3 linked regions of the Saccharomyces cerevisiae S288C genome follow. The gene in region 2 interacts genetically with the main gene of each other region. Each region holds a gene or a part of one and is shown on either strand. Other genes may lie near its edges.

Region 1 (3,100 bases), on a different chromosome or scaffold from region 2:
CCCTCGTCCCTCATTGACCTTTAAAAGCTCCTCAATGTCTTTGAATACTATTGATATATTTTTTGACGATTCTCCAAACCATTTAGAAAAGATGCGTGCACAAGACAATTCTATTATTATCCCCTTATAATTAGTATCAATGGTATCGGAACCGTCTGAAAATTCCCGCCTCACAGATAATTTTTGGCAAAGTGCTTTGCATAACGTTGTTTTACCTGTTCCCGGAGGACCATGGACAAGGAGTAATTTATTATTTGTGATTAGCGTTGTAATGTCTTCTTGATTGGAGTCTCCAGTTTGTTTGAATCTTGCTATCTTGAGAGATATAGTTGCGTAGCTATATAACCTTTCTTTAATATTGTTACCAAAATACAACGATTCCCATTGGCCCTCGAAAGTTGTGCCTGGAAGATATGATATATTTACTAAGTTTAGTGTTTGCTTACTTAGTGGAATGTCAAAATTTCCCACCGAATTGATACAATTGTTTAAAGTTTCTCCCTCAAAACCATCATCCTCGTCTAGTTCTAAGTCAATCTTGTCGAACTCTGTGGACAGTATGCTGCCATTTTTCAGCTCATCTTGCTCTTCCAGACAGCAAAAGGGATATATAATGAACTCGTCAACAGATCCCATGTGATAAGTGTCCGACTCGTTGGTCTCCTCTGAATCTAAAATAGAATCTATGTGCTGACCCAAATTTATTTTCTCATGAAAGTTCAATTTAATAGAGACGTGTGATGTGGACTGTTGCTCTATAGAAATTTTTTTAACGAATAAGGATAGAAACAAATTATCTTGTCCTTCATTTACTGTGTTAACTTTGCCATTTATGCTTGAAAACTGGTGTAATAAAACTTTTGCTAGGCTTCTAATCAAATGTTGTTGCGCCTCCGTTGGTGGATCCTTAATTTCAATACTTCCTTGCCCCTCTCTCATTAATTCTTGGCCAGTTATAATCGAAGTCTTTAAACGGTCTTTTGGGAAACTTTCCAACTTCCTCTTGACCACTGCTTTTAACAGATTCAAAAATTCTCCCAGCTTTTTGTTGCTGTTTTGTTTCGAGTCAGAACCAGAATGTAGAGAAGAAATTTGCTCATCCTCTCTAAACATACATTTGATAACCCTCAGAGATGATCCTCGCACTTGTAGGTCAACTATGTAGCTCATATCCTTATTTTATGTCTTCAGTTTGAGATCAGAATATTTTTATGAAAATGTTGTCACTCTCTTTTAACCGCCTCGCATTTCGTAGATTTGCCGCCCACCTTATTGTCAACGGCAAATCTAAGGATATATATACATATATATATATTTTTGAGAAAGATTATATTTTCGCCAACGATGAAAAAGAGAAAAGTACAGTACTATGTATTATGTGTTTTTCAACTCAAGAGAGGGGCAAACATATAACTGGTGCTATATATGATTAAGGCTGCGCTCAAATATACTTCTTACTTAATTGACTGAACAATACGTTGATAAGATGAAGGAAGAGTCTCAGATATTGGTTTCACAAAAAATTCAGAGAATGGAGTCATTTCGGTTACGGGCAATCTTTCGGTGATTGGTACGGAGTATCGCGATCTTTACACGTTCCACTAGTCAATCCAATCCAATTTATTCATTTGTCCGTAAATATTCTGCCGGCCTTCTCCCCATATTACAAAATAAAAAAATAAAACCTGAGTAATGGAATAGTTGGAAAAGCAAGGCAAATTTCCATCAGAAAGCAAGCCTATCCATTCAGCTAAGCTTATGAGATGAGTGTATTAAGATCTACATGCCTTTTCTTCCCTCCAAGATCCTTGTTGATATCATTTAACAAGCGGCGATTATTTTCAACTTCGAGGTTAATTTTGAATAAAGAAAGTGAAACTACAAAGAAGAAAGATAAAAGTAAGCAGCAAGATTTTAATCCTCGGCACCTGGGTGTTGCTGCCGAAATATTTATCCCCTCGGCTTACAAGAACCTTCCAAATGTATTTGCTCATCCTCTCATTGTTGCAAATGCATTGATCAGAAGACTTTACACGTTTGGTTTGAACTCTGTTCAAGTCGCATTGTTTCGTTTTCAATCAGGCATTAAACCTTCTTTTTTACTCTGGAAAAACAAAGCCATAGAGACGTATATCAATGTAAACACGTCATTTGCTCATAAAAATTTGTCGGACATCAAAGGGTTAGTTTCATTATGGGTTCAGGAAGCTCTCGAGGCTAGGTCCCGTCAACTTCCAGGTAATGCAACACTGGACTGGCAGTTGATAAAGTTTAATGCAGTTCCTAAACTAGTCTCAGTGCAACCAATCATGATTCCCGGAATGCCGTTAGAGCATTTACAGTTGGTTTACAAATTTGATACGAAGCAAAGACTAATTAAAGTCAATCAGCAAACTAAGAAGACTGAGACGTTAGACCGTGACGTTGTAGACTATATTGCCTTTTTGTGTGATGCTACAACTAATGATATGATTTTAATGGGATCTTTGTTTGAAAGTAAACCAAATGATAAATTACCGAAAAGCTACGAGGACGATGCTAAAGTTGCCATACACAGAATGAAAGTTAACGGTGATATATATCGTTTACCTCCAAGCTAAGGCAATATGTATATAAATGCGAAAAGTTTTGGAACATCTGTAAATAGCCATTGCTTCATTTGAGTTTCTTATTCCACATACCACTTACATATTCAGTAAAAACTATTCATTTGTTTTTCATTCTGAAGTATATATATTAAATTTATTAAATAGTTTTTCATGAAAAAAGTTATTGAAGCATCTCCCTTTCAATAGTGCATTAACTCTCCCATTCTAACCCATCTTTCCGTTGAATCGTCATAGAACAATGTTTCTGACAGATTGGTTTTCCTATAACGATCTTTGCAGCACAATCTGTGAAATAATTTCCATAAGCCGGTAAGAATAGTCCTGTTATAGCTGATACTACCTTGTACATAATTCATATCACTGAGCTTTGCTTCATCTTTTAGAGGCTGAGACTTCTCAAAACCTTCTGCGCTATCCAAACGATAGGTGCTGATTTCTTTTAATGCCAATGAATTATTAGAACACTTCCTACATTTAAGAACAACCTCTTC
Region 2 (4,740 bases):
AATGCGAAAATAATGTAATATTTAACGTATACATAACGGGCAGAACGCCCTTCTAAGAAGAAGAGGCATATGCTAATCATTGGCTTTCCTTTTCTTGGAGCCGCCATTTACAAGTTGTTTGTCACGTTGTAATTTAGATTCCAAATAATCACAAAATTTCTGATCTCTATTTTCATTCCAAACTCTATTAATGCCGCCGAGAAAAATGACTTGTGAGTCCTTCAATATGAAAACGCCCCTATTGAACACAGTTCCCGGCAGTATCACAATTTTAGAACCCAGCATGCAAGAGCTCCAAGATATTGGAGTCGAGTTGATAGCAAAAAAAACGTCGCCCGACTTACTTTGTAGTGTCAATTTAAACACTGCTTTATTCTTGGCGGCACTGCTATTATTGTTGCTATTATTTTCCTTGGCGCAGTTGTTATCCGCCACATTCCCGTCATCTTCCATGTCCACTTGAGTGATGACCTCGTACTTCTTAGCGCCATTTCCTTGCGCGCCTGATCGTAGTCTATCCACTTTCTGTTTTTTCGGATCCAGCTTGGTTTTTATATCATCGATCTGTGTTAGCTTGGATTTGGTGATATTCTCTACCATCAACACCTGGAACAACAGTTCTCTGTCTACAATAACAAGTTTTTTATCTAAGATAAGATTCGAAGCAGTACCAGCCAACCAAGGTTCATTTTGGTAAGCTCTGAAAACAATCTGTTCTCTCGACCCCAAGGTGGCGGAATACGCTGGTGGTGTAATGTCATCTGTGATATCCTGTGATAAGATAGATGAAAAAGACATTCCATCCACTCGGTAGTATGTATGCTCTGCAGTATTTTGGCCTTCTTCTCAGTACTCCCTTTCTGTAAAGATTGTATGATTGGTTTATCTTTTTCCTTTTTCCTTTTCTTTTTTTTTTTTTTTTTTTTTTTCTTTTTTCTTAATAATTAGTTTCTCTTCACGCTACATGCTTTCTTGGCCCGTCCTGAGTGCAGTATCATAATTAATTTAGTAAATAAAGAAATAAACGAAGATGGACCCTCAGAGCAAACAGCCAAGACCGCTTGCATTGCAAAGTAATCTATTATTGTGCGCTGGGCCGCGGATGCCGCGGATAATAAATAGCCGGACCTGTCAAGAGGACGATAGCGGATGCGCTGGGAAGAGCTGTACTCTATGTACACATATGTATTGGTTGGAGCATATGTGCCTACATAATATGTCTAGTTGGCTCAAGCCCGTCAACTAATTAGTCTGAATGTATGGAGGCTTCTGCTGGCTCTAGCGATGTCGTCGTATTTACGTCACTGTAGTTCTCGACTCCCCGGAAAAACCTGTTCGCGTGAGCGGAACAACTTTCCATTGAGGCTTAGTGGAGGTATTTCCGGAGAGGGCATTCATCCCGGATTTCCTATTAGAATGGTGCAGTACGCCGCCCTCGCGCTCTCTACATGCTGTTTTAGCGCGCGTGATATGGACATAGATGCACCACGCGGTGTTTCTTTTCTAGGCATCAAGTGGCTTGCAGCCAATCAAACACGAGGAATGTGGGATGGAAGTACAATCTCCTCACCGCACACCCACGTTTTCCGGGACATTTCTCGGACAGACTCTTTTTTTCTTTTTTTTTTTTTTTTTGCTTCCCACGAAATCGGAACTTATCTATCAGCCGAAGAAAGCGCGTTGGACAGATACTTGAGCAGATTTTGTGGGGAGAGAGAATCTTGGGACAAATGCAAAAAAGAAATGGTCGGAACAAAAGGGCAGTATACAGGGCCGGCAGTACCTTCTGTTCCTACCACAAACCTTAACGATATCGGTGACCCTACTAAAACTGTGCAATAGATATTCCGGACCCACATCATTGCGGTGTTTTCTGAGTCCGCACTCACGGGACGAAGACGAAGAAAGACAAGAGCCTACAAATGACTATAGCGTTTTCTTTTTCCTTTTTATGCTCTTGCTACCTTTTTCGCATGAGAGGACATTCTTAAGGCGTATATTCTTATATATTATACAAAATATATTTAGTAAATTGTTAAATTTACTTATTGACTTAAATCGCCCTAGCGGAAACAAAACTCTTTAAAAGAAAACATCAAATAAGAACACAGACAAGAAATTTTGTGTACAAATGCTGTCAGACTGCTTGCTGAACAATTTCAGAATAACGGCTCAAATAGGGTCGGGTGCGTATGGACTAGTGTTCCATGTGGTGGATATACTGACGAGCCGTGAATATGCAGTGAAAACGGTCTTCAAATCCTCCTCGATGGATGAGTTTTATAATAAGAACGGTTTGAACAACAACTCTCAAGTGGCGCGAACCACTCTTCTGCAAACGCAACTGTATCATTTTTTCAAAAGTTTCCAAAAAAAATTGTTCTTACCTTCCGTTGATCTAGACTCGATATTACAGTTGACTGAGAATGAACTAAATAGGCTACCACACTACAGGGAGATTGCCTTCCAACTAAGAGTGCAGTCTCACGGCAATATCGTGAAGATTCACCAAGTTTTAGAATCTTCTATTGCCACTTTTATAGTGATGGATTATTACGACAGGGACCTTTTCACCTCGATAGTTGACGATAAGCATTTTGTAAATCATGGTATTTTGATTAAGAAAGTTTTTCTGCAGCTTTGCTCCGCATTAGATCACTGTCATCGTCTCGGTATATATCATTGTGATATCAAACCTGAAAATGTCCTACTGGATCGCAATGACAACGCTTATCTTTGCGATTTCGGGCTTTCCACTAAATCTAAATATCTAGCTCCAAATGTGTGCGTTGGCAGTTCATATTATATGGCTCCAGAAAGAATATTGTATTGTTTGAATACCACCACCAACGGCATACACGTCGACGAATGCTGTTCGAGCCTCCCTACGGATACAGGAGATATATGGTCTCTAGGCATCATCCTAATTAATTTAACTTGCATAAGAAACCCATGGTTAAAAGCTCACCAGAAGGAGGATAACACATTTCAACATTTTGCTAACGATAATAATGTCCTGAAGAAAATCCTTCCTATATCAGATGAGCTGTTCACAGTGTTGACGAAAATTCTACAACTAAATCCATACACAAGAATAGACATGAAAACTTTGATGTCCGAAGTTTCCTCTCTTACTTCTTTCACCAGGGAAGGGCCCTTGTCTCAAGTTCCAATCCTATCGAGCGAAGTTTACATGACGCATATTATAAGGAATGAAAACCTATTTTTGAGCGATTTATCACATTTTTCTGCAGACCAAGAACAACAACAACAACAGCAACAACAACAACAGCAAGTCCAAGAACAAGAACAGGAACAAAAACAAGAACAAATACAAAACCAGGAACAAGCACAACAGCAGCAAGAAGAGGAAGATGCTGAACCGGAGAGTGATATTCCATCAACGTATAATAGTGACGGAAGTATGGAAAAGTATGAATACACTAACAACCACAATAATAGTACCTTTTTAACTTCCTCAATGGACAGTACACCTTACCAATCTGATATCGATGACGTTAGTGCTTCCAAAGATTGCAAATTCCAACAAGATACATTAAGAAATAGGCTATTATGCTTACAAATGAATTTTTCTACTTTAACAGACGGTCCAAACGAGAAATGGTTACCAGATTATTGAGCAGGTCTCACCTTTATACTCACTGTATTATCTTATGTTCTAATTCGGTAATAGCTTCACCTTTTCTTTTTATCTTTGAGGTTTGTTTTTTTTCTAGTATCCTACTAGGATGGCTATAAGCAATGGCTGGAACGATTTTCATACTTTTTTTACGAACTTACGACTTTTCAGTGTCTTCTTTGATCAAAAGGAGATCACTATGGATATATATGTCCTACATAACTAATTACAATAATGATAGAATGACAGAACTTAGTCACTTTTTTTGTTTCTCAGCCCGGCGACGGCGCATTTGAATGGGTGGAAATCTTCGCTGATACCAGGTTGACAGTCTTATGATACGATTTTTTCGTCCTTTGCTTCCCCCGCAATAACCTTGCCTTTCCTCTATTTGCCGCGTTAGTAAAAGACCTTTCACAGCATCTGTAAAGTTCCTTTAATCGCATTGCAAAATACCAGGGCCTAAATGGAACTTCCTCAAACTGTCTTTCCAACCTTTCTAAGGGGTACATAAACTTTTGATATTGGATTTCCATCGATTCCCAAGGACTTCTCTTTATTGGACATTGCTTGCCTGTGACTTTTATAGGCGGCTTATAATATAGCACAAGGTCGGGCAAGTAACAAAATACAGCACTTCCTCCATTCTTATCAGGGTAGTAAGAGACTGAATCCCGAATCTCTTTTTCATTAATAACAATTTTGTTTTCTTCGATTTTCATGTTCTTGGTGGAAGAAAAAGTTTCCAACCAAGAATTGAGTTTATGTAATAATGATTCTGGGACAGGTGGCAATAAGGTAACACCCTCTCTTTTTTTCAATTCCATTTTATGATTTGCCGTTTCAGTTCTAGAAGTTTTCAAAGCAGAGTTTCGTTTGAATATTTTACCAATGGATTTTGAAAATCGTTTACCAGCACTAAATTCATGCTTGGATCCCGAATGTTGGAACAGGTGCTTAACACTCACAATTTCGGGATATTTATTAGGACCATCATTAGTACATGCCATTTCCTCTTTCCTCGCCACCAGATTTTAAGGCAGTTGATGTTTGCTTCCAAGGGAGAAAAGGAACTTATAACGGTTAAAATTAATAGAGCC
Region 3 (2,519 bases), on a different chromosome or scaffold from region 2:
TAGCAGATATATAATTAAGCACTTTATACTCCGCCAACGAGATTTAATAAGGGTCTCATTTGCAACGTTGATTCTCACTTCATCATTGAGGAGTTGGCTTTCTTCAGTGTTTGGTCTCAACAGTGGTTGAGTTTCTAGATCTTGGTTATCCGCTCGTAAGGGTGAGTTAGTGTGCATCTTAAAAGGTTCAAGGAGTAATGCACTACACTAAGCAATAAAAAATCCCAAAAACAGGAGGATCTTGTGTCTTCTTCCCCTAGACAGTTCATCTTTTTGATTCTGGGCTTCGCATTTACCTTTAGAGAAAATTAAATAACCCCATGCATGCGATTCTAAAAAAAAGTTAACTAAGCGATGGGATGAAATTTTTTTCTGGTGGTTGTTAGCAAAGTAAAAACGAACAGGATATAGAGTGAATAAAGGACAGTGAGAAAAATGCTTTATTTGATCGGACTTGGTCTCTCGTACAAATCAGACATTACCGTTCGTGGTTTGGAAGCTATTAAGAAATGTTCTAGAGTTTATCTAGAACACTATACCAGTATCCTAATGGCTGCAAGCCAAGAAGAGTTAGAATCTTACTATGGTAAAGAGATCATCTTGGCTGATAGGGAATTAGTTGAGACTGGTTCTAAGCAGATCCTAAATAACGCCGATAAGGAAGACGTTGCTTTCTTGGTCGTGGGCGATCCATTTGGTGCCACCACACACACAGATTTAGTTCTCAGAGCTAAACGTGAGGCAATTCCCGTCGAAATTATTCATAATGCGTCCGTTATGAATGCAGTTGGGGCATGTGGCCTACAACTATACAATTTCGGTCAAACCGTTTCCATGGTTTTCTTTACCGATAATTGGAGACCAGACTCATGGTACGACAAGATCTGGGAAAATAGAAAAATTGGCCTTCATACTTTAGTGTTATTGGACATCAAAGTTAAGGAACAAAGCATTGAAAATATGGCCCGTGGCAGACTAATCTACGAACCACCAAGATACATGTCTATCGCTCAATGTTGTGAACAATTATTAGAAATTGAAGAGAAAAGAGGTACAAAGGCATACACTCCTGATACTCCAGCAGTCGCAATTAGTAGATTAGGCTCGAGCTCCCAAAGCTTTAAGTCTGGTACCATAAGTGAGTTAGCCAATTACGATTCAGGAGAGCCACTTCATTCGCTTGTCATCCTCGGCAGACAATGTCATGAATTGGAGCTGGAATACCTGCTAGAGTTTGCCGACGACAAAGAAAAGTTTGGGAAAGATGTGGCAAATGACCAAGAGTACTTCAAACCTGCGGCATGGGTCCCACCCACAGAAGACGACAGCGACGAGTAAAGGTAATGCACACGCTCATGTGTAGTTTCTTTTTTATAATGTATATTGAATAGATCCTTTCAGTCGGGTAACAATTCGATCCCAAACGAATCGGGCCCTAACGATATGTGTAAAAATGGCAATGAATGAACAAGAAGTTATAACAACAATTTCAGCCAAGAACAAGAGCGATCCTGGAGGAGATTATATACGGATACACAGGTACACAAGATGACGCAATTAAAATATTTGTTGCTGGTTTCTAGGCAAGGAAAAATCAGATTAAAGAAATGGTACACGGCAATGTCCGCTGGTGAAAAGGCAAAAATTGTGAAAGACTTGACACCTACGATATTAGCAAGAAAACCCAAAATGTGTAACATCATCGAGTATAATGACCACAAAGTAGTATACAAGCGATATGCTAGTCTATATTTTATTGTTGGGATGACGCCCGATGTTGACAATGAACTGCTGACCTTGGAAATTATCCATCGGTTTGTCGAAACAATGGACACATATTTCGGCAATGTTTGTGAGCTAGACATTATATTTAACTTCAGTAAGGTCTACGATATCTTGAATGAGATGATTATGTGCGATGGCTCCATCGCAGAGAGCAGTAGGAAGGAAGTACTGCACCATGTGACCGTGATGGACACCATGGAGAGCAACGATAATCTTGAAAGGGTATTGAGTTAGGACCACTAAAAAACAATGGAATGAAGAAGAAAGGAGAAGAATAAGATGAGAAGGGGGCAAGGGGCCCTACTATTATTACCGTCTGTCGCAAAAGCCGTTGCCCGGACAAAAATATCTTTTGCGAGCATCGGCACAACGTTGATTGGTCAGAGCGGTAAAAAGGAATGAATGTGAAAAATGTAAAGAATATATAGGCGATAAAATTATCATGCGAAGTGATGTACATATTTTTGAATTTAAGCATCAATAGGACGAAAGAATAGATTTCAGACTAAGATAAAATAATCGAGAATAATTAAAAGACGATAATGAAATTGTTTCAAAACAGTTACGATTTCAACTATCCATGGGACCAGGTAACCGCCGCTAACTGGAAAAAATACCCAAATGAAATATCTACACATGTCATCGCAGTGGACGTTTTAAGAAGAGAATTGAAGGATCAAGGTAAGGTCTTAGTTACTGAACGGTTGATTACTGTAAAACAAGGTGTTCCCAAA

The links. A genetic interaction does not mean that the proteins touch.
Region 1: mutations in SKS1 (region 2) and MBA1 together harm fitness more than expected from each alone (negative genetic interaction), as found in Saccharomyces cerevisiae (3 studies listed by BioGRID).
Region 3: mutations in SKS1 (region 2) and APS1 together harm fitness more than expected from each alone (negative genetic interaction), as found in Saccharomyces cerevisiae (3 studies listed by BioGRID).

The regions. Positions count from the first base shown.
Region 1 is NC_001134.8:598,623-601,722, reverse strand, and holds MBA1 (Mba1p), read left to right. Parts: upstream 1-1,763; coding exon 1,764-2,600; downstream 2,601-3,100. Other genes in the region: PCH2 (Pch2p), read right to left, coding at 1-1,170; YBR184W (uncharacterized protein), read right to left, coding at 2,789-3,100. UniProt on the Saccharomyces cerevisiae protein: Mitochondrial inner membrane-associated mitoribosome receptor that spatially aligns the mitoribosome exit tunnel with the membrane insertion machinery and allows cotranslational protein membrane insertion.
Region 2 is NC_001148.4:499,575-504,314, reverse strand, and holds SKS1 (putative serine/threonine protein kinase SKS1), read left to right. Parts: upstream 1-2,131; coding exon 2,132-3,640; downstream 3,641-4,740. Other genes in the region: RMI1 (Rmi1p), read right to left, coding at 73-798; SMA1 (Sma1p), read right to left, coding at 3,913-4,650. UniProt on the Saccharomyces cerevisiae protein: May have a role in glucose regulation.
Region 3 is NC_001144.5:500,079-502,597, reverse strand, and holds APS1 (Aps1p), read left to right. Parts: upstream 1-1,548; coding exon 1,549-2,019; downstream 2,020-2,519. Other genes in the region: TAG1 (Tag1p), read right to left, coding at 1-177; DPH5 (diphthine synthase), read left to right, coding at 436-1,338; UPS2 (Ups2p), read left to right, coding at 2,328-2,519. UniProt on the Saccharomyces cerevisiae protein: Component of the adapter complexes which link clathrin to receptors in coated vesicles. Clathrin-associated protein complexes are believed to interact with the cytoplasmic tails of membrane proteins, leading to their selection and concentration.